Linked DNA regions of Notamacropus eugenii. The protein of the gene in region 1 interacts with the protein of each later gene in a biochemical or structural test. Links are inferred from orthologs where the notes say so. Each region holds a gene or a part of one and is shown on either strand. Other genes may lie near its edges.

What was found.
Region 2: the proteins of DNAJC3 (region 1) and THAP12 form a complex in vitro, tested with the Homo sapiens proteins (2 studies listed by BioGRID). The link is inferred for Notamacropus eugenii from reciprocal best matches to the Homo sapiens genes DNAJC3 and THAP12.

Annotation. Positions count from the first base shown.
Region 1 is NC_092877.1:232,120,920-232,137,487, reverse strand, and holds the start of DNAJC3 (dnaJ homolog subfamily C member 3), read left to right. Parts: upstream 1-7,754; 5' UTR 7,755-7,927; coding exon 7,928-8,009; intron 8,010-16,568. UniProt on the Homo sapiens protein: Involved in the unfolded protein response (UPR) during endoplasmic reticulum (ER) stress.
Region 2 is NC_092876.1:127,766,708-127,783,176, forward strand, and holds the start of THAP12 (52 kDa repressor of the inhibitor of the protein kinase), read left to right. Parts: upstream 1-9,787; 5' UTR 9,788-10,019; coding exon 10,020-10,108; intron 10,109-16,469. UniProt on the Homo sapiens protein: Upstream regulator of interferon-induced serine/threonine protein kinase R (PKR). May block the PKR-inhibitory function of DNAJC3, resulting in restoration of kinase activity and suppression of cell growth.

The DNA.
Region 1 (16,568 bases):
TTTGAACTCAGGTCTTCCAGACTCCTGCACTGGTGCTCTATCCACTGCACCACCTAACTGCCCTACCATAGCTACTAATCAATAAGTCAAAAGCATTTATTAAGTGGTTAGGCATGTGCTAGGTACTGAGGATATGTCTTCAAGGAATTTACAATCTATTATGGGAGATAACATAGTATATGCAGAATGAAAACAAAACAAATATAAGGGAGTTTTGGAAGGAAGGGCACTTGTCCTCAGGGAAACAGTAATGGTTTCAACCTAGGCTGAGACTTGAAGAAAGTAAGGAATTCTATGTGGTAGGTTGGGTGGGTGAGGAAGATACATTCTAGCTAGGTGGGATTGTTACTGCAACGGCACCTAGAGAGATGCTGGGTTTGTTGTGTGTGAGGAAAATCAAAGTCAGCTGGGCTTAACTATAAAGAGTAGGAAGGAGAGCATTGTATATAATGGATCTGTATTGGTTGTGGCCATGTTGTGATGGGCTTTGAAACAGTTTTATGTTTTATCCCAGAGGCAACAGAGAGACACTATGGATTATTGAGTAGGGGAGTGAAAAGCTCAGACTTTCACTTAAGGAAGGTCACTTTGGAAGCTGTGTGGAAGATAGACTGGAGTGGGAAGGGATGAGGCAGGGAGAACAATTCAGAGGCCATTTCAATAGTCTTGGTAGGATGTGATAGGGACCTGAATCAGGGTGGTGACTTTCAGTGTAGCAAGAATGGGCACAAAACTGGAACAGTCATGAGATAATAGTGATGGGGAGATTCAGTTATCCTGTCATCTGCTTCAGTTCTCACTGATGAAAGCAAAGCTTTCTTGACTTGCACTAATAATAATGTCATCCTTCAAAAGGTAAAGGAACCAACAAAGTGCAATTCTATTTTGGATGATTTTCAGTAGCACAAAGGAATTGGTTTCTAGGATGGAAATAAGAACTCTAAGGGGAAGTGACCATTCCTTCCTAAAGTTTGTGATAGAGAACACATATATCCTAGATTTTGGGAAGACAGATTTTTGAAAGACATAAGAGGAAGGACTGATAGACTTTTACAGACTAAAATTCTTCCTTTTCTAAACTTTCTCATTTGTTGACTTCAATGATTCCAATTGGTTTGATTAGCATATGATTAAGCTGATGATTGCCAGATCTATCTATCTATCTATCTATCTATCTATCTATCTATCTATCTATCTATCTATCTATCTATCTCCAGTTCTAATCTCTCTCCTGAACTTCAAGAGAAGCTTCATTTACAGCTAATTACTGCACATTTCAAATGGATGTCCCATAGCTATCAAAAACTCAAAATGTCTCAAAACTCCAAACCTCATACCCAAACATACCCTTCTTCCTTTTAGGCTTCCATGTTCCAAAGTTGGTGTTATCTTTGGCTTCTTTACCCCACATGAATATTCAGTCAGTTGTCAAATCTTATCATTTCTATTTTCATAATATCTCTAACATTCAATTCCTCATTAATACACACAATTACTACCTGAGTTCAGGCCCTCAATCACCTTTCATACAGATTCTTGCAAAGGCCTGCTTTGGTCTCTCTGCCTAAAATTTCTCCCCTACTCCAATCTATTCTCCACACAGCTCCCAAAATGAACTTTCTTTGGTAAAAGTATGACCACTTCACTCCCCTACTCAGTAAACTTCAGCAATTCTCTATTGATGTTAGGATAAAAGAAAAACTCCTGTTTGTCTTTTAAAGCCCTTTATAACCTGTTGCCAACCAACTTTACCTGTCTTCATTATACATTTTATTCCCCTTCCCATTCTCTACAGTATAGAAAACATGGCCTTCTTGCTGTTTCTTACAAGATGGCCTTCCCCATTGGGCTCTGCATTTTCTGTCCCTGAGGCCTGACATTCACTTCCTCCTTCTCCTCCCCACTTGACAGAATCCCTTGCTTTCTTCAAGACAGGTCAAGTGCCTTCTTCTAAATAAAGCTTTTCTTGATTCCTCCATCTGCTAGTACTTTTCTTCCCTGAACTAGCTTGTATTCTATATATTCTTCAATATGTATATATTGTCTCTTCCAACAGAAGCAAAGACCTTGAGACAGGGAATGTTTCATTTTTGCTTTTGTATCCCTAACACCTAGCTGAATACCTGGAACACAGTAGAAGATTAATGAATAATTGTTGATTTACTAGAAGGGATAAGAGCATAGAAGGGATAGGAAGCTCTTAAAAATAAAATTATGAAGACGCAAGGATAAACAGTTCCTATGAGGAAAAAAGAGGACTTCTTTACAGATTCTAGTGGGGGTGCACTGGGAACTCACCAAGCAACTCAGGTTCTTAACACACATATAGTGTATAGAGCCCATATAAGGTTGCATGCCATCTCAGGGAGGTGGAGAAAGTTATGGAAGTGATTGTTGAAAACTGAAAACAAATACATAAATAAATTTGGAAAAAAACACACATGTACAAAAGAAGGAATGGAGTGCAGGTAATGGGATTAACATGAGCACATAGTTTTGTAAAAAACAGTGTCGATCATGCTAAAGCTTTGAATGAGCTGGGGCGAGAAAGGACAGCAAAGGCTTTTGGGGTTTTTTTTGTTTGTTTCTTTTTAACTAGTTGGGGAAAAGAGAACCCACATATAGGACTGCTGCTTAGGGACAGCAGAAAAAATGGTAGTATTTTGCTTCTGTTTTCTTGGCCACCTGAAATGACCATTGTAGTAGCCACAAATGGCAAGGGGGGAATTAGCCAAGAGAGGTACCACATAGGTGTTGACTTCGATTCATTCATCACCTGGTCCTAATGAATGCTATCTTTGGCTACTGAAAGTACTGGCAGATGTGCCTGCTAGGCTACTGTCACTGATATTTGAAAGATAATTAAGAATAGGAAAGTTTCAAGTTTGGAACAGTTCAAGTGCTATTCTGATTTTAAAAAAGGGTTAGAGCACCGAGCCTGAGAAGTATAGCTGAGTGAGCTTGGCCTCAATTTGTTTAATTCTAGGGTAAAATATTAGATAGTCAACATCTAAAGAAACTGATTATAATGAGTGAGCATGGCTCCATAAAGAACATCTAAGTGGTAGAATAACTTTATTCCTCTTTTTGGCAGGGTTACTTAACTGGCAGAGAAGGGGAATGCAGCAGATAGACTGTAGTTTATTTGAATTTGAGAAAATACATTTGATAAAGTATTTTCTTTCTTATGGAGATAATTGAGGGATATATGCTGGATGAATAAACAATAGATTTGGAACTCCTTGAAAAGATGTAAGCAGAAAGCATTTATTGATTCAGTATAAATTAGGCAATATACTGGAGTACCCCAGCAATTGAGGTTTAACCTTCCATTGTTTAACATTTTATCGCTCACTTGGATAAAAGCAAAAGTGGTACACTGTATCAGATCTGCAGATAACAGCTGGGAGGGAAAACTGACACAGTGAATGGCAGAATCAGGATCCAAAACGGGTCTTGACTTAATCTTGATTAGAAAATAATGAGATTACCAAGGAATGGGATAAAATGCAGTCTTCTACCTGGGTTCTACAAATCAGCTTTGCAACAGCAAGATAGCTGAGGTCTCCAATGATAGGAATTTGGGGATATTCTGGTGGTTTTAGCTGATTGTAAATAAGCTCAATACGTTGGCCTTGTGTGTTATGACAGCCAATAAAGTAATTTGATTTTGGGCTGCAGTATTAGATGTGATAGCTTCTACCAAGTGATAGCCCCTCTGTGTTCTGCCATGGCCAAAACACATTAGAAATACTGTGGTCAGTTTGGAGCGCCACAGTTTGGGAAGTAATTTGGAAAGCTGGAGCCGGTTCAGAAGAGGATAACTATGATGGTGAAGGGCCTTAAGTCTGTGCCACGTGAGGTAGTTGTCTTTGTCCTTCGTTCTTGAAGTGAATTGGATTTAAGTGAGGAAGGGCTGTTCAGAGTCACTAACCTCACTTTCTCTCCCCGAGCCATCTAGGTCCAGTGACAAGATTGATCAGAACTGGATGCAGTGGGACACCTTGGCCTTTTTAAGCTAAGGTCTTTTCTCAGTTTGATTGAGGCAGTGACTATTTAGTGATTAAGGTTAGGTAAGAAATGAGGCAAAGAATGACATCTTTTACCTAGTCAAACAAAAAAAAAAAAATCCATCTGGGAGGGGAAGACCCTCAGGGTTTCTGGCCAAAAGAGAAACAACTGCTATTTACACTCACTCAGCCATCTGGGTCCAAACAAGAACCAAGACAGGCTTGGGCTGGGACCTACTGTTGGCTAATCAATGAGAGCCAGAGTGATGTAGGTTTAAGGTATGGTTCTTAAGAAAGAAATCTACCCTGAAAACCCCAGGACATTCAGGTTTCAAGATTTCAGGTTTCAGCAATCAAAATTTATATCCTTTTGGGCAGAGCACTCCCAAATAACGGTATGACACTTTATGTGGACAGAGGGAGAAGAGAGTGGGAGAGGAGGGAGGGCTTGCTGAAGGAAAAGGAGTTGAGTTTGGAGAAAAAACTTCTATCTTCCAGTATTTTAAGGGCCCATGTGCATAAGGTATTAGATTTATTTTACTCAGCCTTAGGAGACAGAACTACGGGCAACGGGTAGAAGTCACAAAGAGGCAAATTTAAACAATGTCAGGTAAAAAGCTTCTTAAATGTTAAAGTTCTCCAAAAGTTGAATGCACAGCCTCAGAAGACAGTGTGTTCCCCTATACTGAAGGTCTTCAAGCAAAGCTGTCAGATGTTATAGTAGAGATCACTTTCTGACTACGGCTTGGACAAATGTGGATGAATGGGCTGCAGGGCTGCCCCTCCCTTCCACTGTTTCTGGCTGTAGAGGTTCCTTCCAACTCTTAAAATTGTGTGATAATACATGCAATGCCATGCTAGGCCATTGTTCATGTAGAATTGCCTCTGAATATTACTAGTTTGCTTTGATAGTTCATTATTAACACATCATTCATGACTTTATACCCTTATTATCCATTAATACTCAACACTTATTTGGATAGCAAGTCTTACATAGTTATTACCTAGATAATAAAGTAGTACTCAAAGTTGGGAAATAAACAACGACTACAGCTACCTACAGCACAACAGGTGTGTATATACGAGGTGAGCTTGCAGTGAAGGCAACTTTGAAATGTTACTTTTTGTAAATAGTTTAAATGCCAGAAAATTGTTTTCCCACAGCACCTAGGTATTTTGTTTTGTGATAAGTCACATGTGTTGCAATGAAGTCAAAGTCAAAGCCTTGGACAGACAGTAATATGCATGGAGTAGAATTTTCAAATGCAGAGAAACACCATTCTTAAATGTTGTCTAGAATCCACCAATAATGATTTGTCCTGGTATTTTTTACATGTTTACAAGTACACATATCCAAATATATAAATGAGAACAAATGAAAAATAAGGATACACAAGCTTCCATTATTTACTGCTAAATCTAAAACAGAAGATATTAATGACTAACTCCAAAGCTTCCAAACTAACTAGCTTACTAAAACTTAAGCAAGTTCTTAGTTCCAGTATTCTAGTATTTGGTAAAAACAGCCCTCCCTCACTCAAAACAAAGTCAAGTGCTAGTGATGTCATCATTTCTCTGATGGCATGATCTTCTTTGGCAAGGAAGGACGAATACATTTGGTAAACAAATTTCCCCTTATCCAGACTTCCATCTCCTGTACTTTTGTTCCTAATAGAAGAGCCCTTATTTAGTATTCTAATAAGATCAAACCCTAAACTGATCATTTTAGGTGCCCTCCTTGGACTTCTTTCAACTTTATTACATCTTTCTTAATGCCAGAACTGCAGTAAGCATTAAAGAAGCAGGATATAACAACCTTTTTTGTTCCCTTCATGACAAAGTCCATATTTTCTCCATCTTTTGGCCATACCATCACATTGGGTTAGTATCTTCATTATCTGACAGTTGTTGACCCTGAAGTACATCTGTCACTTGGTTTGTGCAATGTACTTAAATCAAATGGACTCAGACACCTTAGAAGAGAAGGTTCTCTAGCATTCTGATGCTTTTAACTTTCTACCACCACTAAACTAATGACTCAGGGGTGTCAACTCATAGCTTCGAATCATGGATTTCTCTAACTTTTTTTTTAAGTGAGGCAGCTAGATGGTGTAGCTAGGATTGAGAGGATAGAAGAGCACCTGGCCTGGGGTGAGGAAGATCAGAGTTCAGATCTGTTTGCTAGCTGTGTGATGGTGGGCATGTTTGTCTGAGTTTCCTGTTGTGAGGATGAGATATTTGTATAGCAGTTAGCACAGCGTCTAGCACATAGTAGGTGCTATATAAATGTGAGCAATCATTAAACTGCCATCTTGAAGATAATACAAGCTCAGTCAGTTGACTGGTTAATAAATAAACAAAACAAAGCTGATTTATAGGATATAGTTCAGATCTGCGATTTCACTTGCAGAGAGCACTTCCCAATAAAAACACTCCAATGGAGATGGGTACCTTCTCGGCAACTTAGTTCCAGAGGTTAAACCCAGGATTACATAGTCAGTAATTCAATTTAATAATTGATTAATTCAAATTAATAACAGCGTCTACTCTGTGCCACGCATCATATATGCTGTATGCTGAGCGGTATCCGCCAGAGGTGGGACTTACAACACAGGTATGAGAAGTATCGGTACAAACCACACGTGTGTGTATATAAACATATATATGTATCGTTTGCACCGATATTTCTATGTAACTTGCCTATGTCAGACTATGTAGTCTACACATCCATATACATACATCATCCACATACGTATACACATACTACACATACATGCATACATACATACACGAACACAGACTGCAGTCAGTTTCGCTGCTCGGATCAGCTAGGCGCAGACTCTTACGCTCGTTCCCAGTCCCACTTCCCAGTGCCCTCCCTTTTACCATTTCTCTCGGCTGCCCCGCTTACTAAGGATGCAAGGACTTTTTTTGGGGGGGGGGGGGGACGGTCTGATTCTACGCCAGCTTTCCTGGCAAAAGCAGGTTGGACTAGAGGAGCCCGCCCGAACCCGTCTCTTTTCCCGGGTTCCCCCTCTGGGGCCGCCCGCGTTTCTTTTCTGGTCTTTCCTCCCACTTCCATCACATCCAGTCACTCCACAGGAGCACCGCACCCTCCCTCTCCCAGCGCCATCAAGTACTCCGACTTCCGGTTACTCCGGGGTTCCGTAGTTGTGTCTCGGCACCACCCCGCCCAGGAGGGCCGCTCCCCACCCCCACCCCACCCCGCACACGTGCTCCTTCGGGCTGAGCGGGTCAGCCCCTCGTGGCGGATTTCCTTATCTGGGAGGCGGGGGCGGAGGGTGGACGGTAGGCTCTCCCAGGCCCCTTCCAGTTCCGAGTCTGCGGTTCCTCAGCTCGGGCTCTCGGGCTCACTTCTCGACCGTCACCGGAAAAGCCAGACTAGAAGGAGGCCGCATCCCGTGAGCCAAAGAAGGATGGAGCAACAGCAGGAGCTTTCCAGGCCGCCCCAGGCGCATGCGCCTTCGGACGCCGCCCCGCCCTCCCCGCCGTCGCCTCACAACTTCACCCTCCAGGGTTCCCGCGGGCTCTTCCCCGCTCGCTCCCAGTCCCTCCCTCTTTCCTCCTCCCCGCCGAGCCAGCCTTAGGGTTCTCTGACAGCTCGGGCTGGCGGACGCCTCTGCGTCTCGTGCTTCCACGTTATCCTATCAGAGAAGGGGCGGGGCTAGAACATCGGCGACCTATCAGCGCCGACCACGACCCAGGCGAGCCCGCTTAGAGGAAGCCCTGGAAGCACGCGATTGGACGGCGGCGGGGGTCCGGGGCGTAGCGGCGTCCGCGGCCCCGCCCCCTACTCCCGTCAGCAGCCGTGGCCCGAGCGGCTCCAGCGGCCGCGGGAGCTGGTCAGTTCCCGCACTCTCTCTTCGTCGGCCTCTTTCTCCCGAGCGCACTCGGCCATGGTGTCCCTCGGGTCGGTGACTAACCGGCTGGGCTCGGTCTTCCCCTTCCTGCTTGTCCTGGTGGATCTGCAGTACGAAGGTGAGGGAGACCCTCCTGGCCTGGGGCGGCGGCGGCGAGCGGGGCCTGGCCCTCGGACGGCTTTCCCAACCCCCTACCCCCGCGCTCGGGAGGTGCGGGCCGGTGGAGGGGGCCCCTGCGACGGGGGTATTTGCGGCCGTCGTTGGGGTGCATGGGGCGGGCCGTCCCGGGCTGAGATGGGGCTGAGCCGTCGTGGCCGAGCTCCAGGTTTACGGTCCCCGTCCTACGCCCCCCCACGTCCCCGCCCCCTGGCCGCCTCCTAGGGATCCTGGGGCAGGGGCTCCAGGTGGGGCCCGGGACTCGCCGGGATCACTTTGTTACTCCTGGGAGCAAAGGAGCCTTAGCCGCCCCTCCCCTGACGGAGGGGGCACCCTCAGCCGCCCCTTCCCCAGGAGAGAGGGGAAACTCTTAGGGACCCCTGTGGTGAGGTTTCACGTGGGGCGGAGTGAAGGGCAGTGGACTGGCCCAGGTATCTGTTGACTGGCGGAAGTGGAACTTTGCTTCTTAAGTGTAAAAGCAGTTGCTTTTTGGGGGTGGGTGGGAAGGGAGCGGGGGGCTCCTGTGAGGTGCAGCAAGATTTAGGAAGGCTAGGGACCATAGTTTTTGGTTCTCATACTTCCATATATGCTGGGGATGCTTACAGATGGTTTTTTCACGTTTGGGTCAAGGGATCAGTCGGATTTCCTTTGAATGAACCTGTGGGGTTTGATCTGGGATACTTAGGCAGGAGGGACTATTTTTTTTTAATAGTGATGACTACGTAAGATACAGCTCGTGACCAAGATACTAGGAAAAGAGACCCTAAAAAGGACCAAAAGTGTTGTTCTGTAAACTAGAACCGCTAGAACTTTGTATATGTCAGTGTGAACGTTTGACCTTTTTGTTATTTGGGTACCTTAAACACTGAATAGCACAGATACTGGAGCTTATCCAATGTGTGCTTCCTGGTGAAAGCTTAAATTTATAGAGGAAAAAGTAACAGCTTTTAGAAAAAACTCAACACCTTATTTTTATAAAGGGGTCCAAAAGACTTTCAGAACTGACTTCAAAGATCCATGTACCTTCTTGAACAGAAAAATAAGGTCTTTACAAGAAATAGGGGCACAGTATTAATACAAAATTCACTTTAATTAGAGCTTTGAGATTTTTTAGAAGAATTTTGAACAAGTCATATTTTAGAGAATGGAAAGGCTGTGTGGTAAAAGAATCAAGTGCTTGACTAGTTTGCCATTGAAAATTTCTGGAAATTTTAAAATACTGCGTGACAATTAGTATTTTGTGGTATTGTACGTGGTCCAATTTCAACTACCAGTGTAACTATCAAAACATTTTGAATGAGAATGACCTATCCTTAAGAGGAAATCCAATAGGACCATTCCTAGAAGAATTCACTAGAGCGAATAAGCTTTCTTTTTCTCAGTTGATACTTGTAGCAAAAATCTTACGAAAACAATGATACGCTAGGTTTGGAGGAACTACCATAGATGTAAAGCTGGTTAACTGTATTTGAAATTCTTAAAGGCTTGTGAAAAGTCTAGTGGTGGTGTTCAAATTATATGTTGGCTTTTTAAAGACCTGTTCTTCAAAGTCATTTCAAGGTTAGACTAGGAGAAGCGGGACTGTTCTCTACAAATATTTATTGCCATCCCCTCTTGTAGACTATAGGAAACTTAGTTAGTTGATGCCCTAGAGTGATTTATAAATTGCAAAGGCCAGAAATATAAACTGAGCAGCGTTTTTGATCAAAACTGCTTCATTTGGTTTTCTTTTAAAAATATTTCTAAAAGCTTATTTATTTACAATTAGTTTCTTTTTAAATTTTGGGTTTCAAATTCTCCCCCCCCCCACCTACCGGTTGAAAAGGTAAGCAATATGTCAATTATACATGTGAATTCATGCAAAACGTTTCCATATTAAGCCATAGTTCTTTTAAAAAGCAAGAAAAACAGAGGGAGAAAATTGTATTTTAATTTGCACTTAGAATTCATCAGTTCTTTCTCTGGAGATGGTTAGCATTTTTTCATCAGGAGTCCTTTGGAGTTGTTTTGTATTGTTGTGTTGATCAGAATAGCCAAGTCTTTCACAATTGATCATCATTTATAACATTGCTGTTAATGTGCAGAATGATCTCCCAGTTCTCACTTGACTTTGCATCAGTTCATATAGGTCTTGCCATGTTTTTCTGAAATCACCTTCCTTGTCATTCCCCTTAGCATAGAGTATTCCAATTATTCCCTACAACTTGTTCAACCATTCCTCAGTTGATGAGCATTCCCTCCATTTACAATGCTTTGCCACCACAAAAAGAGCTGCTGTGAATATTTCTGTACATTTAGGTCTTTTTTCCTTTTCAGAATACATACCTAGGAATGGTAGTGCTGGGTCAAAAGGTATGCCATTTTAATAGCCTTTTCACCCTACTTCTAAATTGTTATTCAGACCAGTTCACTATTCCTCCCACTTTTCCTTTAGCATTTGTAATTGCTAATATATGTGAGTGGTAACTCAAGAGTTGTTTAAATTTGCCTTTTGATCACTGGTGATTTAGAGAATATTTGCTTTAGAACATTTTTTTTTCCGTTTGACTTGATAGCTTTGATTTTTTTTCTGGAAACTCCCTTTTTCTATCCTTTGACCATTTATTAATTGGGGAATGGCTCTTATTTTCATGGCTCAGTTCTATACTGAGTATATATTTCAGGTCTTTATCACAGAAATTTGCTGTAAATTTTTTTGATATAACATTTTTGTCTGTGGTACCTTTTTGAAAAATGTAATTATCCCTTTTTATTTGCTCTAATTTTGCTTTTTTCCCTCCATCCAATTTTTTTCTATTTCTTCTTCTAGAAAGTTTATTTTGCTTCTAACCATGCTTCTCTTAATCTGCCCTTCCTTTTATCATCCCTCTCTCTTTTTTCTTGTCCTCTTCTTCTATTACCTTATTAAGTTATATTTCTCTACATAGCTGAGAGAAAGAATGTATGCATATTTTTCCCTCTTTGAACTAATTCGAGTGAGAGTGAGGTTCAAGCCTGTCTCCATCCTCCCCATTTTCCTTAGCACTGTAAAATCCCTTCCTTGGGGCTTCTTTTATTTGGGAAAATTTTCCCCATTCTACCTGTCCCTCCTCCCTCCTCCTAGTGTCCCTCTTCCTTACCCCTGCATTTTTTTTGGAGATAATTCCAACATAAATGACTCCTTTCTGTGTTGTTTATGTATACTCCTTTTATCTGCCCTAATAATGATAAAGTTTTTAGTCGTTACATGTATCATCTTCCCATGTAGGAATGTAAACAGTTTAACATTGTTGAAACCTTTATGATTGCTCATTCGTGTTTACTTTTTTTTTTTTTTTTTGTGCTTCTCTTGAGTCTGGTGTTTGAATGTCAAATTTTCTATTCAGTTCTGGTCTTTTCATCAGGAATGCTTGAAAATCCTCTATTTTACTAATCTTCCTGCTCTTCATTTCTTATAGTATAATAGTATTCCATTACATTTATATACCACAGCTTGAGCAACCATTCCCCAGTGCATAGACATTTCCTCAATTTCCAATTCTTTGCTACCACAAAAAAGAGCTACTATAAATATTTTTACACATAGGGGTCTTTTCCCCTTTTTTATAATCTCTTTGGGATACAGACCTAGTAGTGGTATTGTTGGATCAAAGAGTATGCACAATTTTATAGCCCTTTGGGCATAGTTCTAAATTGTTCTCCAGAATAGGTGAATCAGTTTACAACTTCACCAACAATACATTACTGTCTCAGTTTTCCTATATCCCCTCCAACATTTGTCATTTTCATTTTCTGTCATATTAGCCAATCTAATTGTGTGGAGTGGTATCTTAAGAGTTTTGATGTGCATTAATCTAATCAATGTTGATATAGAACATTTTTTCATATGATTAGATAACTTGGATTACTTTACCTGTTCATATCCTTTGCTATTTATTAGTTGTGGAATGGTTCTTATTTTTATAAATTTGACTCAGTTCTCTATATATTTGAGAAATGAGGCCTCTTTAAGGGAAACTTGATGTAAAAGGTTTTTTTCACAGTTATGGTAGCTGGCTACTTGTGTATTTCCCTCCATCTTATTTTTTTCTTTCCTGTTTACCCTTCTCTCTCACTCTCTCACTCTCTCTCTCTCTTAACCTCCACCTTGTCCATCCTCAAAAGTGTTTTGCTTTTGACCATAATCTCCCCCAGTCCTCCCTTCTTTCTATCAGCTCTCCCTGCCTTCTCTTTTCCCCTTCCCCTTCTACTTTCCTGTAGGGTAAGATAAATTTACATACCTGAGGGTGTATGTTATTAATTCTTTGAGCCAGTTCCCATGAGAGTAAGGTTCAAGCGCTATCCACTCCCTTGCTTCCCCTCCAGCTCTTGTACCTTTTTTATCTGAGATAATTTACCCCATTCTGTCTCTTTCCTCTTCTCCCAGTGCATTTCTCTTTCTCACCCCTTAATTTTATTTTTTTAAATATCATCCCATCATATTCAACTCACACTAATGCCCTCTGTCTTTGAATAATCTTTCTTATTGCCCCTAATAATGAGTAAGTTAGGAGTTACAAGTATCATCTTCCTACGTAGGAACGTAAAACAGTTTAATCTTGTTGAATTCCTTATGATTTTTCTTTCCTGTTTACCCTTTTAATGCATCTCTTGAGTCTTGTATTTGAAAGAGAAATTGGCTATTTCTAGTCTTTTCATCAGGAATGCTTGAAAGTCCTCTATTTCATTTGAATATGAATTTTTTCCCTTGAAGGTTTATATTCACTTTTGCTAGGTAGATGATTCTTGATTGTAAACCTAGCTCCTTTGCCCTCCAGAATATCATTCCAAGCCCTCCTATCTTTTAATATAGACGGTACTAAATCTTGTATTATTCTGACTGTGGCTCCATAATATTTGAATTGTTTATTTCTGGCTGCTTGCAGTATTTTTTCCTTCACCCAAGAGCTCTGGGATCTCTTTCAGTAGATGATTGGTGAATTCTTTCAATTTTTCTTTTACCTACTGGTTCTAGAATATTATAGCATTTTCCTTGATAATTTCTTGAAAGACATCTAGGCTCTTTTTTTAATGATAGCTTTCAGGTAGTCCAATAATTCTTAAATGATCTTTCCCCAATCTGTTTTCCAGGTCAGTTGTTTTTCCAGTGAGGTATTTCACATTTTCTTCAGTTTTTTCATTCTTATAATTTTTTTTTGTTTGTTTCTTAATGTCTCATGGAGTCATTAGCTTCCACTTGCCCAGTTCTAATTTTTAAAGAATTATTTTCGGGGGTGGAGTAGAAAGATGCACATACACTGGCTCTACCCCCACAGCCCATAATATACCTGTAAAGAAAGACTCTCTACAAATTCTAGAGCAGCAGAAGCCATAGAACAACAGAATGGAGGAGATTTCCAGGCCAGGATGACCTGGAAGGCTGTGGGAAACAGTCTGTCATGCAGGATGGCAGAGTGTTTTGGGGTAGTTAGAGGGGAGAAATGGGGAGAAAATTTGGAACTCAAAATTTTGTGGAAATGAATGTTGAAAACTTAAATAAATTACTTTCTTCATTGAGCTTTTATACCTTCAATTCCATTTGGCCAATTTTACTTTTTAAGAAGTTTTTTTCTTTAGTGAATTTTTGTTTCTTTTTCCATGTGACCAGTTATGCCTTTCAAGGCATTCTTCTCTTAATTGGATTTTTACCATTTGACCTATTTTGTTTTTTAAGTTTTTTTCTTCAGTATTTTTTTGTGCTTCCTTCACCAAGTGGTTCACTCTTTTTTCACAGTTTTCTTGTGTCACTTTCATTTCTTTTCCCAATTTTTGTTCTACCTCTCTTTGATTCTGGAAAATTCTTTTTGAGCTTTTCTAGAAATTCTTTTGGGCTGGAGATCAGTTCACAGTTTTCCTTTGAGACTTTGGATGTAGCAGTTTTGACTTTGTTGTTGTCTTCTGAGTTTGTGTTTTGATCCTTCTTGCCACCATATTAACTTTCTGTAGTCACTTTCTTTTTCTCTTGTTTGCTCATATTCCCAGTTTGTTTCTTGACTTTTAACTAGATGTTAAAATTGAGCCCTGGCCTCTGGGTTAAAGAGCAAGTCCTGAACTTCCAGGTTTTTGTGCAGTTGTTTTCAGAGGTAGTTCTTGGATTCTGTAAGTTTTCAATCCTACAAGGTGGCATGATCTAAGGAGAGGTGTTTTTTTTACTACTTTCCTGCCCTGTGTGCTAGTCAGTAAGCAATTATAAGCACTTTTTTTCTGCCTTGGAACTGTGACTAGTCCATTCTCCTCCACTAGGGTATTGAAAACTCTGGTGTGCTAGTGCTCCTCCTTGTTTTGGGCCTGTGACATGGATCCGTGTATGGACAGTGCATCCAGCAAAGGGACTCTTAAAATCCCCTGGCCAGTTGTCCAACCCCTTTATTCTTTGTGGGATGAGAGCTCTGGAAGCTCCTGCTGCCGCTGATTCAGTTGGTGGGAGCTTTCTCTGCACTGAGCTCCGCTCTTACTCTGATGTGACAGAACTTTCCTGTTCATCTTCTAAGTTATCTTGGGCTGGAAAATTGTTTTTCCCTTCGTTTTGTGGGTTCTATTGCTCCAGAATTTGTTTAGAGGCATTATTTAAAGTTGCTTGGAAGTGAATTTGGAAGCGTGCAGAAAAGTCCTTGCCTTTCCTCTAGTATCTTGGATTTTAAGTTTCAAGCAAATAATTTAAACATTAATTTTAGTTACGTAGTCTTTTGTCAATCTTGTGTTAGATTCAGAAGTAACTTTCAAGATCAATAGAAAAAAATTGATATTTAACAAAAAATCACTTTTCTGCTTTCCCATAGTATCCTCCCTTGTAACAAGTATCATTAATGAAAATAATCAATATATCTTCATTTCTGAAAATGTATATCTCATTTTGAACCCATAATCCATTGTCATTCTGCAAAGAGGTTGGAATGATATACACCTGTACATATGTATGTGTATATATGTATGTAAAATAATATGTTAATATTAAAATTATATGTTAATATTATTGGTTTCCTTTGTAACCCTATGTGTTTCATTTGATGCATTAAAAAATATTATTCTGTGAGTCTGTAGACTTTACCAGACTGCCAAAGCATTCTATGACCAAAAAATAAAAAAGGAACTTGTGCTATGGACAGATTTCTAGACTCTGGATCCTGGTTGTACTCATATAACTTAGTGCATATTTGTGACCTTGTTGCCATGTTCTGACACCAGGCATTTACCAGATCTTATAGATCTTGATGGACTCTTGCAGTGTTCCCTAGTCTGGTCCATCCTTCCTTGACCTAATTCCTGGTTTTGACACTGACCACATCATAACTTTATTCACTTAGTCATCTAAGCTTCTTCCATCAGATTCCCCCTAAACTTTTCTGCTCTCAAATACCTGATTTTATTCTCTTAACTGTAATAGGACTCCTAACCATTATACTTCTCACCTTTTCTGTACATTTTATTTTATTCTTGGTAGAAACTTTCTAGAGGAAGGAATTACCATTATTATTGAAGGTTTCTATTTTTTAAAATAGTCTTTATATTTAGGGAATGGCATGACCTTTAGTACTCCTACATTTTTATGGTTAATCATAAGCTTCTGTGGCTTCAAATGAGGTTTACATGTAGTATTAAGACCCAGTTAGTAACAGAATTGGGTTTGTTAGATAGGACCTTCATTATGGACTGTTAAGCTGTCTTTGGAACAGGGGTTATGTCTTGTTATACTGTCTTTAAAGCAGCCTCTAGGAGCTTACAGTCTAATGGGGGGAGATAAGACACTAAAGAAGGTAGGAAGGGGGTGGGCCATGGAACGCCAAAGCACATCTTATTGTGTGGAGTTGAAACCATGCAGAGCTGCAGATGCAGAGTGGAGTGAGAATATTTTTAAATGCATAAAACGGGCAAACCTTAAATGGATTAAATCTGTATATTTACAGGATTTGATTACAGTATTACAAAGGAAACCAATTCTACTGAAATACAGTTACCAAATATTTTTTTTAAAGTTCATGGCCTTCAGTTTAAGAAGATCCTACTTTAGAATGGGGCAGCTAGGTGGCATAACAGATAGAGTGCTGGGCCTGGAGTTTGGAAGACCTGAGTTAAAATTTGGCCTCAGGCACTTATTAGCTATGTTACCCTGGGCAAGTCACTTAACCCTGTTTGCCTTGGTTTCTTCTGGAGAAGGAAATGTCAAATCACTCCAGTATCTTTGCCAAGAAAATCTGAAAAAGGGTCATGAAATGTCAGACATGACTGGAAAATACTGAACAACTTTAGAGTTGTATTCTTTGGTTTTATCTGGCATTTGGAACTTTTCTGTGTAGTCTAATCTCATTCGTAGGAAGAAATCCCATAATAACTGATTTCTGTGGTTTTAAATTTTGCAGAATATACAATTATTTACATGATCACATTTGAGAACCACAAAACCCTGTGAAAGTTGTAGGCCCTAAGATTAACTTTATTCCCATTTTACAGAAGAAGAAACTGACAATCAAAGTTTAAAAGAATTGCCTATGAGGTAGGATTTGAA
Region 2 (16,469 bases), on another chromosome or scaffold:
AGGGGCTTTCCCTTGAGCAACTATATGAAGAAGCCTATTCATTGAATGGGTGTATCTCACTCAAAGTGAAAACGTCAGACATTAGCCTGAAAGGGCCAGGGTCTCACATTTTATCCTGGGCCATCTCCAGTCATTCTGATGAATATCAAGCCACTGGACCCAAATGGTTCAGGGGAAGAAAGTGAGGTTGGTGACCCTGCACAGCCCTCCCTCACTCAAATCAAAGTCAACTGCAAGTCATGTCATCATCTTGATGTCATGGTCCTCTCTAAGAATGAAAGACAAACACAATCTGTAAGTATCAGCTCCCCTCCTCCTCCTCCTCTCTCTCCTCATCCTTCTCCTCTCCTTCCTCCTCCTTCTCCTTCTCTGGTATTCTGCCCAGGGGAAATTAAACTCCATGGCCAAAAGCTGCCTTTTTTCCTCTGGGTTTACTGGCTACATTTCTTGCTCAAGGATCAAGCCTTAAATCCAATTCATTCTGGAGCTCATAGACTAGACAACAAGTCCCCATCCACAAATGAATATCTGGTCAGTGGACCGAGATGGCTCAGGAGAAGAAAGTGAGGTTGGTGACCTTGCACAGCCCTCCCTCATTCAAATCAAAGTCATCTGCAAGTCATGTCATCATCCTGATGTCATGGTCTTCTTCAAGAACAAAGGACACACACAACAACAAGAACCATCCTCCTCTTCATCTTTTACCTCATCTTCTTCCTTGTCCTTCTCTTCCTCCTCCTCTTCTTCACCTATCACTTCCCCATTCTCCCCGAAAACACTCTCCAGGCCTTCCCTCTAGACCTCAGGGTTAGAGTCTAGAGCTTCCTTGTCATCAGCATTGTAGCCATCGAGTTATGTGAGCTGGAGCAAGAGGGCAAACACACTCTCCCAAAAGTTCATCAGCATGGTCACTTTGCATTTGAAAAGTTCTAGGCTCTTGAAGTTCAGAAGTTTTTTCAGGGGCTCCAGTGTATTGATGTCCTTAATTTTGTTCCCACTTAGGTTTAGCTGGATCAGGCTGGGTGTTTGTTAGACCAGGACCTCCAGGCCTCAAGAGAGATGGTTATTGCTGAGCTCTAACTTTTGAAGTCGGGGAAGCTTGGGTAGGTTGGCCAAAGACACAAAGCTGATGTTGACAATGCTGAGAAACTCAAAGTTTTCAAATTCTGAAGACAGGCCCCCAATCTTCTCATCATCTGAGAAGGAGTTATCCAAGACTAGAACCTTCACCTACCCCAGCTTCTTGTTCTGCAGCTCCAGCATAACCTACCACCTCTTGATGTCCATGGCCACCCAGTCCAGCCAGGGAGCCCCAAGAGCCCTGAGAGCTGCCACTGTGTAGACTGCCAGGAAGGTGCCAAAGGCACGTAGAGGGGAAAGGGGTGGATATCATGCCCCTGAGGGCCCTGGAGCACGTTCCCAGCCCACTTCTGCTTTTTTAAGGAACTGTTTTTTTTACTGAATTTTTGTGCCTCTTTTACCATTATGCCAATCTTGTTTTTTTAGGTGTTATTTCCTTCAGTACTGCTTTGTGCCTCTTTTACCAAGCTATTTATTCTCTTCTCATAATTTTCTTGCACCCCTTTTATTTCTTTTCCCAATTTTTCCTTTACCATTCTTACATTTTGTTTAAATCTTCCAGAAATTCTTGTTGAGTTTGAGTCCAGTTAGCATTTTTCTTTGAGGCTTCTTTTGGTAGCTGTTTTCACATTGTTGTTTTCTTCTGTGTTTATGTCTTGGCCTTTCTTGCCACCATAGTAGCTTTTTGTGATTAAATTTTTTGCTGTTTCCTCTTTTTTCCCCCCAGTTATTTCTTGACTTTGAACTTTATGTTAAAGTTGAGCTCTGTTTACCTAGGGATGGGATGACCCTGTGCCAAACTTCAGGTTTTTTCATGCTACTCTTTTCAGAGCTTGTTTTGGGTGTATGCGAGTTTTGGGTACTTCTAGGCTGATGTGATCCTGGGAAAGGTATGGTCAATGGTCTCCTGGTCTACTCTCTGGTCTTTGCCAAGGAAGAGTTCCTGCTCTCCTATAGCTGGACATGGTAATACTCATCTTTGCCTTGGAATTGCAAAAAGGGCTCCCACTCCTTTGGGACTGATCACCAGCTCCCCTCTCCAACCCAAACTGCCCTGGAACTGTGTTTGTGCAATAAGAGTTGCCAAACAGCACCAACTGTACTCGGAAAGAGCAAAGGGTCCCCTGTAATCTCTTTCTGACTCCCTTATTGTCTCTGAGTTGAAAGCTCTCAAAGTTGCTGTTGCCCCCGTTGTTACTGCTGAGGCCTATGTGGGCTCGGGACAGACCCCACCCCAGTGTAATAAAATTCTCCTTCTAACCTCTTAAATTTTCTTAGGCAAGAAAAATGTCTTACCCAACATTTTGTTGGCTCTGCCACTCCAAAATTTGAGATGAGGCATTATTTTTAAATTGTTTGGAGAAGAACATTGAGAAAGTTCAGCTGGGCTGCACCTAATTCACCCTCTTGATCCACCTTTCTTTGACTCTTAATAGCAACTGCATCACATTCAAGATGCTAATTCAATCAGTGGTATTTCCAGAGTCTAATTTGCCAGCATTTTAAGGTTCCTGAAATGTCTTCACAGCTACTCTGTTCCCCTTAAGGTACACCATTTCTGGTATTCTCCTACTTTGCAACTGCTCATTTCTCACAGCATAGTTGGTGGGTTGGCCACTGAAAGGATTATTGCTGTTATTAGCTTATGTTTTTTTTAATGAATTTTGTCTAGAATGATTCAGACACAAGTCGTTATTCTACTGTTACTCTTTTATGTTTAATGATCTGTAGACTATTATACAGATGGATAAAATGACTACTTTGTAGTTGATTAAAACTATTGAATATAATCTTATTAACTTAAAGTATCCTCAGGACTACTCTAGTAGCAGTGAAAACAAGAACGAGTCAATCAATAAACATTTATTATATGCTTAATATGTAGCAAGCACTTTGTTAAATACTGGGGATAGAAAAAGAAGCAAAAGATAGTCCCTTCTCTCAAGGAGCTTACAATCAAATGAGGAAAACAACATGCAAATAAACATATACAAAACAAGCTATAAACAGGATAAATAGGAAATAATTAAAAGATAGAAAACATTGGGATTAATAGGGGTTAGAGAAAGCCTCCTACAGAAGGTAGTATTTCAGTCGGGATTTAAAGAGAACCAGGGAGGTCAGTAGTCTGAGAGGAGAAGAGAGAGAGTTTCAGGCATGGAGGACAGCCAGAGAAAATGCCCAGAGCTGAGACACAGATTGTTTTGTTTGTATAACAGCCAGGAGGCCAGTGTCCCTGGATGCAAGAGTATGTGGTGGGAAGTAGGGTATAAGAAGACTGGAATGACATATACATTGTTTTATTCCCACTTAGTTTTAATGTCTTCTGTTAGGTTTCTATATTTTGAAAGCTTTTCACTCTGTGTAGTTTGTAGGTTATGAGTAGTCAGTATAGCAATGTCTACTTAGAATATTGTTCTAAAATTATTATGGATGAATGCTGAGCAGATGATTGTGGGCAGCAGTTGATTTTGTCTATAATAATGCTCATGTTCCAGTGCAGTCTGTTGAATTCTCAAGGATATTTTGGGATTTGTATTTGTAGTATGAAGATCTGTTACCTAAAGGAGAGTGAGGTTCTGGTGTATAATTCTAGCTGTCCGGGGTGTCATGCTATATTTTTGTAACCTGCAAAAATGAGTTATTGAGCATGGAGTTATTGGAGATGTCACCTAAGGAGAATTTTGATTTTACTCTGAAATCTTAAGCCATTTCATAGGCTCTATCTGGAGCCAAATCACATTCAATTATATTCAACAAATTTAATAGTAAATACCTGTTGTCAGCCTTTACTATTACTTTATGAAGTAAGATCTGTTTGGTCTAAAGGTATTTCTATAAATTTTTAATCAGTTTATCGTGGGCCCTGGGTTTATCTGTTAATTCTCTTTTTCCTTCCTGACAAGGAAGGGCTCATCTTTCTTTAGCTTCTTTGGGGTAATGAAGCCTGTGTTTCTTTAACGTTGTATGTTTTTTGTTTGAATGCCTTCTTAATCTGTTGTATTTTATTACCAAGCCAAAAGTACACATTAAAGCAGGCATTATAGAGGTGTCAGTTTCTCTTAAAGTGTTCCTGTTGTTAAATTTTGACTTCAGGATGTCAATCAGTCTTTTAAAATACGCAGTTCCACCTTTCTCCTCTTGTCTTGCCAGGAGACAATAATGGTAATTGTACATATTATCTTTATCCCTTGGCTGCTTTGACTTACAGTTTAAAGAGACCTATTCACTGAATGGGCATTGCCTGACTCAGGGACCTTAGCTTAAAAGGACCAAAGTCTCCCATTGCATCCTGGATCATCTCTAGTTGTCTTAATAGATATCTGATCACTGGACTCTGATGGCTCTGGAAGAGAAAGTGAGGCTGGTGACCTTGCACAGCCCTCCATTTAAGTGAAAATCAATTGAAAGTCATATCATCAACTACCCGATGTCATGGTCCTCTTTGAGAATGAAGGACAAACCACACAAGCTCAACGTCTTCTGTTTCTATTTTCCTTGGCTCACGTTACAGATTTTACATTTGTCAAGTGGAAATATGATATCATACTATTCACTTATATGGATTAACAAGTGCACCAAAATACTCAGATTTTAAAGAACAAAACCTAGGGGATTTATGGAGGTGTGTGGCACTCTATTATCAATCTTTTTGAATATCAATTAACACTTATTCTTTAAATACAGTAACTAGATCCAAACCCACCTAATCGTATTATTGTCTAGTGCCAGGGGTGGGGAACTTGGGGCCTCAAAACCACATGTGGCCTTCTAAGTCCTTGGGTACAGCCTTTTGATTAAGTTCACGTTTTACAATACAAATTCTTTTATTAAGGGGACTTGTTCTGTAAGTTTGGATTAAGTAAAAGGTTGCACTTGATGACCTAGAGGGCCACATTTGGCCCCAAGGCCACAGGCTCCCCAACCCTGGACCCATCTTTCTCCATCTTTATCACAAGGACAGCATGAGAGACTTTGTCAGATGCCTTACTGAAATCTAAGTATAGTATGTTTTTGCCTGTGACATTTCTCTGATCTACCACTTTATTTCTTTGGTTTGGTTGTATAAAGAAATTAAGTTAGTCTGACATAACCTGTCCTGATTAAGTCAAACCCTCGCTGATCATCACATCCCTTTCCTAAATGCCCACAAACCATCCCTTTATTAATATATTCTAGGACTTTGCCTGGAATTGAAATAAAAAAAATCAGTAGTTTATAGTTTAAAGACTTCGTCTCTTCCATTTTGAACATATTGACTACTCCCATTTGTATAGTGCTTTAAGATTTGTAAATTATTTTACATAAATTCACATTGGAGCCTCATAATAAACTTGGGAATAAGTAGCAAAATATTCAGATGGATCTGTGATTCCATAGATATGAATCTTACTTACAATCATGTAGATAACAATGCATCCCTATGTACCTGTCCCCATAAGTTCATTCACAGTGGGTATACACAACATTCTTAATTTCTCTTGAATTGTGTAGTTACCAGTATAGGGAATGTGGGCCATCCACTGATTTTTCCCTTGATCTTGCCACATGACCAGTCATAATCTTTTGATCGTATATTTCTTTGATATCTTTTACTCTGATTCCTTCTCCCTAGCTCCTAATTATCCACTCAAGTCTTTTCCTATCCACTATGCACCTTTCTACTACCCTCTGAGAGATAGCAATACTCAATCTTAATTCTATAGAGACTGTAGTATTCCACAGTTGGTCATATAATACCATCTGTAAAATATTGTTACTAAAAAAGATAGGCCTTAATTTCAGGGAGAAGTTTAGGGTTGAGCTCTTTCCCTTTGGTGCTCATGTCCATCTTCCTCCTCTTATTTAATTCTGGACTCCATTGATTGTCCACTCATGGTGTCTCTCTAAGGTTTATTATTTGTGCTTGACTAACGGTAGGGCCTTCTGAGTTTATATAGGTCTGATCAGCCACAGTCTGTCTGTCTGTCTGTCTGTCTGTCTGTCTATCTATCTATCTATCTAATCTATCTATCTATCTACCTACCTACCTACCTACCTACCTACCTACCTACCTACCTACCTACCTATATATCTATCACTGTATCTCAACTCTGACATAATGATGTCATTTTGGTCCTCTTCAAGAATAAAAGACAACAACCAACCAACCAAGGTTTAAATCTTAAGATCAAAATAATCAAACTTGCTCTGAAACAATCTACATTTAATTACTATATTTTTGTTTTTATAACATTTTCTTTCTCAGTATATATTATAGGTTCATAGTCTTAGAGCTGGATGCTGATTTATAGACTTAGATCTTGGCAATCAATTATTGTCTTTTTTAATTCTCTTTCTCCAATGGCTCTCACATCCATCCATCCATCCATCCATCCATCCATCCATCCATCCATCCATCCATTCATCCATCCATCCATCCCCTTATGTCAACTACCAACCTATTTCAGCTCCTCTTTTTCTCTCACATGGACTATTAAAATATAGCCATTGGTTCAGCTAAGTGCAATTTCAGTGCATGGATAGAGACTGAGGCTGAACCAGCTTTTCTCAAATGGCAAGTCTGAAAGGGAAAATTCAATAATAGATTCCCAGTTTTGTTTGTTTTAGAAATTTTGCGGGGGGGAACCCCATCCTACAGAGGAGGGCCTGCTGTACAGGTTCTTAGCTCTGCTTTTCTGAAAGGAAAGTAACTTTTGAGGGGTCAACAATCTACTTTAATCAAGCACATATATCATTCACTTAGTTCAGGGGAAAAAGTATCCTGAATTTCAGATAAAATACAAGCAGAGAAATAAAGACCAACAGACAGGGCTTCCAACTGTCTGACCATAAGCAATTGTGTTCATCCTTCATTGCCAAAGAAGACCATGCCTCAGAGAAATAATAACATGACTTGCCCTTGACTTTGTTTTGAGTAAGGGAGGGCCATGCAGGTCACTAGCTTCACTTCTCTTCCAGAGCCATCTGAATCCAGTGACCAGATATTCATCAGGATGACTGGCGATGACCCAGGATGAGGCAATTGGGGTTAAGTGACTTGCCTAAGTCACTTAGTGTCAAGTGTTTGAGGTGAGATTTGAACTCAGGTCCTCCTGACTCCTGTACTGGTGCTCTATCTGCTGTACCATCTAGCTGCCCCAGCAGGCACTTAAATGTTTACTGACTGTCTGACTATACATTAGAATCTTTCTCTAAATCATTCATTTATTAACCATAAGAGTTGTAATATTCAAGTATTCTTCTGCCCTGATCCTTTACAAATTTGTAAAAGGATTAATTTACTGAAGGATCTGCATTTTTTATTTTATAAAAATGTATTTTAATACTTCAATTAGATCTGTGATCTCACTCATGTTGTTTAATTAGTTCAGATCTCAATCCCTCCATATCTTTTCTTCCCATTACAGCTCTTATCCAAGTTCTCCCAGAAATACTCCACTCAGGGTGCCAGGGGCCTTCCTTCTCCTCTAGTTCTCTTAATAGCAATGAAGTATGTAGGCTGACTATAAGTAATACATACATCACAAATCAACAGACAGATCCAACTGTCTGACCATTAAATACATAGTTACCAGAGAGAAAAGCACCAATATCTGGGTTTTCAAAGCTGGGGGGCTCCGTAGTGGCTTCCCAGAGTCTAGTCTGGCCAAACAAACACTTCCAATGAGTAAGCCCCAAAGTAAAACCTCACCTCAGAGTATTTATGCATTTTTCAGCACTGGAGAACACAACCCTCTGACTCAGGGCCTCAACAGAAATTAACAAAAGGTATTGAGGCCTATTAATGATTGGGGAAGATCTTTAACTCTTCCCTGTACTCACCATTAACCTTACATTAACATTACAGGGGGGCAGGCAGTCAGGGTTAAGTGACTTGCCCAGGGTCACACAACTAGCAAGTGTCAAGTGTCTGAGGCCACATTTGAACTCAGGTCCTCCTGACTCTTTATTCGCTGTGCCACCTAGATGCCCCTAAAATTTGTAGAAAGGGAAGAGTGAAGATGGTACTTTTAAGACAATACAAAGGTAAGCTTGGTTTTGAGAGATGAGTTTTATACTACAGAACCTGGAATAATTTGGATACGCAGACCTTCAAAGTGCTTCATAGTCAAGGGCTGAGGGATAGTCTCAGAATGCTATCATATTAGTTCATAGGCAACACTGGCCTGGGCATCAGGGCCACCAGAAATGATAAAGTGGTAATGAATCAGAGACCGGTAAGCAGTAGACATCTCAAGCATGTAAAAACCAGACAATGGTATGTTTGACATTAAAACAGTCATGAATGTCAGGACCAGGATGAGGCGTGTAATCATAAGCAACCCCGCCCCCAAAACAGACAAAAGTCAGCCTCCAAAGGAACTGAAGGAGCATGAGCAGGGCACAAAAAAGATAGCTCTAACCCAGTAGCAAAGAGAAGACATTGATCCTGGGGAAACTTGCTATCCAAGCTTTCTAGACCTTTGTGTTCATCTCACGAAGCAAAGGCTGGTCCTGAAGGGACTGTGCCTTGCCCAGAGCATACTGGTGACAAGGACTATAACATTCATTGGCTGAGTGGTGGAAAAGGGAAAGCTGAGCAGGCAGAAGCGTATCTCTGACAGTCACAGATGAAATACCATTTTCCACAAGTTGTTTTCTCCTTCCAAAATGCATTTTCTACCTATTTCTTTGAATTATAAAAAGAGTATCTTTCTAGCTTCTGCTCCCTTTTCAAAACGCCAGGTACAATCTAGGTAATCATTTTTTTTTCGTTTTCTAAATAAGTTTCTTTATCATCACGCTCACGGCTAAGCATCCATCGAATGCCATTCTAAATGCTTCCTCTGGTCCTGGCAGCTGATGGCACGATCACCTCCTCTCCTTCCACCAAGCCTTCTTCGTGCCCGTAGGCTTTTAACGGGCCTCGTCTCGGGGACTGAGCTCCGCGCTACGTGTGAAATGTCGCTGCCTGCCACCTGTCACTTGCCCTTCTCTCAGGGGAGCTCTAGGGACGAGGCCCGCGCCTGCCCACCGCGGCTGCGGGCACACGAGCGGCGGCCAGCCTGGGAAGGGCGGCTTCTAGCATCTGTGACTTCTCCAGCCGGTCCCCGGGGCCTCTGCGGCGCCGCTGTTCTCCTGGGGATTAGGTACCGGAGGGGCCAACGCCACAGTCACGACCGGACCTCCGGGGCTCGCTAAGGGGGCAGATCTCGCTTTCGGGCTCTGGCCAGTCCCCTGAACGAACAAACAGAGGGTCTCCCGCCCGGCCTTATTCCCACGTTGGTTTGGTCAGCTCCGACGCGGCGGAACGAAGCGGGGTCTCCGCAGACCGCAAGGCCGCGCAGCCCAGCCTGGATCTGCCCCACAGCGAGCCAAGGCGCTCCCTGCGCTAAGTGGGGAGGATGCGGCGCGCGCTCACTCTCCGCTTTCCCTCCCCGCCCCGCCTCCGCCTCCCTCCGGCGGCTCGGCTCCCCGCGCCTGCGCGCCGCCACCGCCTCTCGCCCCCAGACGCCGCCCTTCCTCGCTCCGCTCGCGGTCGGCCCGGCCCGGCCCTCACTGCGCGTGCTCCCAGGACTGAAGTCCCGGAGAAAAGGCGGGGAGGAGAGGAAGGAGAAGGGAAGAGAGCCCCCGGCAGCAGCGAGGGGGAGGGAGGCAGGGTGCATTGTGGGAAGGAGGCGGCAGCGTCCCGGGCGGACGGGCGGGCTAGAGCCGTCGGCGGCGGCGGTAAATCCTCCCGGCCGCTCACAGCACTGTGGAGCTGCGTCCCCAGCCCGGCCTCGGCCCGCGGCGCCCCTCCTCCTCCTCCACCTCCTCTCGCCCTCCCTCCCTTCCTCTTCTTCCCTCCCCTCCTCCTCCTCCTTCCCCCCGAGCCCAGCCGGGCCGGCCTCCCCGGGGGCCGGGAGGCCGCCGGCGGGGGGCAGGGGGAGGGGGCCCGGCCGGCTGGACGGGCGACGATGCCGAACTTCTGTGCGGCCCCGAACTGCACGCGGAAGAGCACGCAGTCGGACCTGGCCTTCTTCAGGTTCCCGCGGGACCCGGCCCGGTGAGTGCCCCCGCGGCGGCCGCTCGGCGCCCCTCGCTCTGGGCTCCGGGGCCAGAGGGCAGACGCCCCTTCCAGGCGCGAGGCCGGGCCCCCTCGGGGCGCGAGCTGTCCCCCGTCCGGGACGGAGGGGGAGGGGGCAGTGCGCAGGCGCCGACCCCGGCCGACCCCGGCCGCTCGGAACGACCCGGGCAGGAAAGCCGAGAAGGGCGGTATTCCCTGTAGGCGTCCCGGGACGGGCACGTGCGCCCCGGGGAAGGGGCTGCGCAGCCCCGGCCCCGCTCGTCAGGCCTCCCTCGGGCGCGGACACAAGAGGGGCTTCCTTCAGTGCGCCCTCCCCTGAGACGGGGGCAGCTCGCGCGTTAGGCGCCTGCTGTGTGCCGGGCTCTGTGCTTGTGAAGCGCCGGGGGGATGGGAAGGGGGGGCTGGTGGTAAAAGAACACTCCCCGCCCCCCGAGGGCTCCCGGCCCAGTGGGGGAGACCACGTGCAGACGAGTAGGCCCGAAGGAGAGCGGGGGGAGCGAGCGGCTTGCCCTCGAGGGAAACACCGGGGTCTGCCCGGTGCCCACCCGAGATGGGAAGGGCCGGCCTTGGGCCAGCCCACGACGTGAAAGTACCGGACCGACGGACACGTCCCTTTGGGTTTGCAGAGTAGGGAGGTGTCGAGGTCAGGGGGCAGAATGAGGGCCCTGACTGGCAGAGGCCTCTGCTTATGCCTAGGGTAAAGGGGCTAGTTAAGCCTTATTTTCCTGTTTTAAAAGGCAGGGTTGGACCGGGTGGCTGGGGGATAGACACTGGATCAGGAACCAGGAAGATCTGAATTCAGATTCTACCGTAGACACTTACTAGTTGGATGACCCTGGCAAGCGGCTTTGCCTCTGATTGCCTCAGTTTCCCCTCGTGTAGGAAATGTTGGGAGTAATCACAGGTGTCTCTTAAAGTTATTGTGAGGCTTAGATGACAATACTTGCCCAGCATATCTACCCCACCCTTTGGATGTCTCTTGCCTGCATTACACTCTGTGGTAAAATAGGTATATGCGTAGAGGCATGTAACATAGATGTAATGCGTGGTACACATAAGTATATGTTTAGTATTGTTCTGTGTTATGTATGCATACATATATGTGTGGGTATGTATGTACGTGTGTATATATCTCTATATAGGTACGTACATGCACACACATATATAAAATTTTGTTAACCCCTTTCCTCAAATGTAAGCTTCTTGAAAGTAGGGAATGTCACCTAAAATTTTTTTGTATCCTCCATTGCCGGCTTTAGCCGGAGTAGGCACTTCATAGATGTCTATGCAAGGAATACATGGGCCGACTCCTGCCGGAATGCTTTTTTGATCTCTCCCTCTCTTCCCCTCTACACAGCACTTTGCAGTGGACCTCTCCCATACGTGTGTGGTCATCTCTGTGTGTGATTTTTTTTTTTACCTTGTCAGACTATGTTTATGTTTTTTGAGATTTGTGTCTTCCCCAGTATCTGGACCTGGATCTTGCAAATGATAAACATTTAATATATTTACTTAATTAAAGAATAAACAAACAACAACAACAAAAAAAACAGACCACAAGAACTTGAAAGGGAATAGAGATCATCTTGTTCAACCCAGCATTTTACAGAGAAGGAAACTGAGGCATGGAATGGCCATTTGTCCAAGAGCAGGTTTAAAACTCAAGTTTTCTGCCTCATAATTTAGTCCCCTTTCTATTTTCTTACATTGTGAAGGTTATGTGCCCCGTTTTCTTACTTACCTGCTTTTCATTGCCTATGGGATAAAAGATAACAGATTTGTTCTGGTATTCATAGTCCTCTGCAATCTGGCTTTAGTTAGTCAAGAAGCATTTATTAATTTAATAAAGTCTCTGTCTTCAAGTAGTATACATTCTAATGGGTAGGACAAAATGTAAATAGGTATGTGCAGAGTAAATGGAAGGCTGTGGCAGCTCTTGGGGCCAGAAGACCATCTGCAGAAGGTGGTTTTGAGCTGTCTTGAAGCCAAGGAAACTAAGAGGTGGAAGTCAGAAGGGAGAACATTTAACATAGGATGTTATATTTCAGTCAGTAAACATTTATTAAGCTCCTACTATGTGCCAGGCATTGTGCTAAGTGCTAAGGTTACAAAAAGAGGCAAAAGACGGTGCCGCCTTCAAGGAGCTTACAATCTGATGGGGCAAACAAACATGTACACATGAGCTATATCCAGGATAAAATGGGGGTAATTAAGAGAGGGAAGGGGTTGGGAAGGGCTTCCTATAGAAGTTGGAATTTTAGTTGGAACTTGAAGGAAGCCAAGAAGCGTAGGTGAGGAGAGAGAACGTTTCAGTCATGGAAGACAGCCAGAGAAATACTTGGAGCTGAAAGACAGTGTCTCAAGGAGAGTGGTGTCACTGAATTGAAGAGTGTGTGGCAGGGAATAAAGTGTAAGAAGACTGGAAAGATAGGAGGGTGTTAGGTTTTGAAAAATCCGGAACTAATAGTGAGTTACTGGAGTTTGAATGAGGATCTGTTGGACTGGGGAGAGACTTTTGAAGCCTTAAGAATAATTAGAAAGCTATTGCCATAGGCTAGTGAGTAGGTGAGGAAGGCCTGAGCTACCATTTGGACAGGTACAACTTCTCTGGCTTCTTTCAGATCTCAACTAAAGACCCACCTTCTGCACTAAGCCTTCCCAGTCCTTAATCTGATGGTCTTCTCTCTGCGATTTCCCCCAGTTTATCTTGTCTTTTTATTGTTTGCAGGTTGTCTCCCACATTAGACTCTGAGCTCCCCAAGATCAGGGGCTCTTTTTTTTTTTTTTTTGCCTTTCTTTGTGTCCCCAGCACTTATAAATTACCACAATGGCTTTCCCACACCTTTTTATCTCTCTTGAAACTTTTCTTGGCTCCCATCTCCCCACTCTCTCAGATTGAGAATGTAACCTCAATGTTCACTGGAAAAAATAGAGACCATTCCTTAAGGGTACTCTCTTCTGCCTCCTCATTTGACATCATTCAGATGCCTTCTGCCATTATCTCCTTCACTTGCCTCAAATGAGGAGGTGATCCCTTCTCATACAGTCTTAATATGCATGATGTCCCATTCCATCCCTTCTTCCCTAGATTGTCCCCTTTATTCCTACTCTCTCCCTGATCTTCAGTTTCTCCCTCTGTACTATTTACTTCCCTCCCGCCAATAAAGATACACAAGTCTCCTCCTCCTCAAAGAACCCTCACTTGATCTGTCTCTGGTCCTTCTTGTCCCATATCTGTCCTCTTATCACATCTCATTTGTGGCTAAATTTGAAAAGGCTGACTCTAACCAGTGCTTCTGCTTCCTTTTCTCTCCTAATTTCTCTCCTAATCTTTTCTCTTCCTAATTGGCTTCCAGTCTCATCATTCAACATGAAACTGCTCTCTCCAAAGTTACTAATGACTTTTTAATGTCCAGATCTAAGACTTCTTAATCCTTTTCCTTTTTTAACCTCTCTACAGCCTTTGACATGCTCAGTCACTCTCTTTTCTTTTTTACTCTCTTCTCTCTAGATTTTCTGGTCTTCTTACCTAATTGTTCCTCAGTCTTCTTTGCTGGGCCTTCATGCAGGTCATTCCCACAAATCTTGAGTCTTCCCTAAGGCCATGTCCAGGCCTTCTTCCCTTTTCCCTCTATGCTATTTTGCTTGGTGTGATTTCCTTGATTTTGTACAATGTCTTATCTTCCCCTACTAGATTATAAACTGGTGGGCAGAGACAGTGATTTCCATCCTTGTATCACCTGTTCTTTGCACAGTTTGTACATAATGCAATTGTTTTGAATTTAACCAAACTGAATTATCTATCTTCCTGCTTGTCTCTTTCAGCCTCCATCTACGCTCCCAAAGTTGGGCAAAGTGCACATCCATATTACTCCCTTTTACTGTTTGCTTCCCCCTGACAGAGGATGTGATGCAAAGGCCTGAATACAGGATCTTTATTTGAAGACCTGGGTTCAAAAATCTGCCTTTGCCACTTCTTCCCTGTGTGAACTTGGGAAATTAACATTCCTGGATCTTAGTTCTTCGTTTGTTTAAAAAAAGGAAAAAATAGGTGGGAGTTGGGTTAGAGGTCACTCACTCTGAGGCCCTTTCCAGCTCTATATCTGGCCTATGGTAAATGGCCTGGTCTTCTATCAGTGATTGCAAGGCCATTGTTGTTGTTGCTCAGTCCTGTCTGATTCTTTGTGACCCAATTTGGGGTTTTCTTGGCAAAGCTGATGTGGTGGTTTGCCATTTCCTTCTCCAGCCCATTTTACAGATGAGGAAACTGAGGCAAACAATATTAAGTGACTTGCCCAGGGTTACAGAGCTAATGGGTGGTCTAAAGCAGAATTTGAACTCAGATCTTTCTGACTGCACGCCTCTTGCTGTATCTATCCACCGTGCCATCTAGCTGCTAGTGGCTTCCAAACCATTTCACACGTAAGGAAGTATACACACATAAGGAAATATACAAGTGTGTATATTTTTAAAGTAAGTTTTATTAATGTCTTTTATTTTTTACATCACCAAACATCACCCCAGGCTCCCTTCCCCTCCTGGAGAACCATCCCATATAACAACTGGTACTTTTTCAAGACAATAAATGAAAGAGAAGAGAAAAAAAATTAACATAACTGATCAGTACATTGAAAAAAATCTGAGAATATGTGCAATGTGCAACATTTATAGACCTCCCACCTCTGCAGAGAGGTTGGGTAGAAGTGTCTTCTCCTGTTTCTTCTTTGGAGCCATGCTTGTTCTTTATAGTTTTATTACATTCACTTTTGATATGTGTATGTGGTTTTTTCCATTTTCATTGTTATAGTCTTTGTTGTATATTGTTTCGTTGAATCTGCTGACTTTACTTTGCATCAGTTCATGTAGATCTTTCCATGTGTCTCTGTATTTACCTATATTTATATTTGTAAAGTATTTAAATATACTGTGCTATGGATGTACATTAAAAACATACCTTAAAATTGAAATTAAAAAGGTTGAGCTAGATGAAATAAATGGCATTTAAAAACTTTTTTTTATTAATGAAACAAAAACTTCACTTGTACGAAAATATTTGTAATATTTTTAGTAAGAGCAATACGATTGAATAAGTTTTATATTTGAAAATCATAGCTCATTATTTTGATAGTAATCTGAAGGACTGGTACTAAGTTCAGTTTATTTTTACTTGATTTTATTAGCTATTTTAACTGAAACTTTTATCAAAAGATGCATAGATTGAAACGGAAGAAGTACATTGTTAGCTGTGCTCACTAAAATCTTGATAATAATTTTTCAGTCCTGTCCAGCAGTCATAATGCTTTTAATTGAAATTTGTCTAATATATGGCCATCCTCCATGATATTAAATCAGTTGTTCTTGGAAACTAATTGGAAGATGTTGCTTTTCTTTTCTTTCTTTTTTTAAGCAAACATAAATTTTTAAATAGGTTAGAAAATTACATTTCAACTATTTTTGTCAACAAAAGCATTTTGAATGCCTACCTCATTATGAGGTCTTTGTACTGTTGCTAGCTAAATTCTCATAACACAAAATACACATTTAGAGCAAGGTTTATTCTTAACAGTAGTAGATATAAATCCATATTTCACATAGTTTTGATAAGTTTAAATGTTTTGGCTGACTTCTTGTCAGATCAATTTAGTTTAACATTGTTTTTACATTGTAATATATCTAAAGGACTTGTACCAGATGTAGGAAGGCTGTCAACTCTGCCATTTTCTTGTTCACTTGTGATCCTGGTAGTAGAATTGTCTCTAATCTAGTTTCCTTGCAGGAATCTGTTTAAGCCACTTTTCCATTTTGGGAGGGTCAGTTTAGTTTAAACTAGATTATGTAACCCATAAATCACTTACCCAGCTCCGTGTAAACTGTAATACATCATAGTGTGCTAGAAGTGAGTGATGGAGTGTACTGTTCTCAATCCCTCACCATTGTGGAACTCAGCCTTCCTCTTGTGACGCGTGACTGAGGGAGGGTGCCAGTATGTTGGCCTGTCAATTAATAAGGCTTAATTTTTCTTTTTCAAGATAAAAAATAGATATTCTATCTTCTTCACGTATCCTAATGAATTGTCTTGGAGGGAGTTGGGTAGGATAGTGGTAGATTCAAGTCAGGAAGACTTGAATTTAAATACTGCATTAGACATTTACTTTTTGGGCAAATCATGTAACCTTTTTCAGGTTTAGTTTACCCATCTGCCAAAATAAGGATAATAGCATCTACCTCACAGGGTTATTATGAAGACCAAATGAGATGATATATGCAAACCTCACCTCTCACTCCATTCAGAGGAACATTAGAATTCTGAAGTCCCTTGAGAGGGTATCTTAGTCAATCA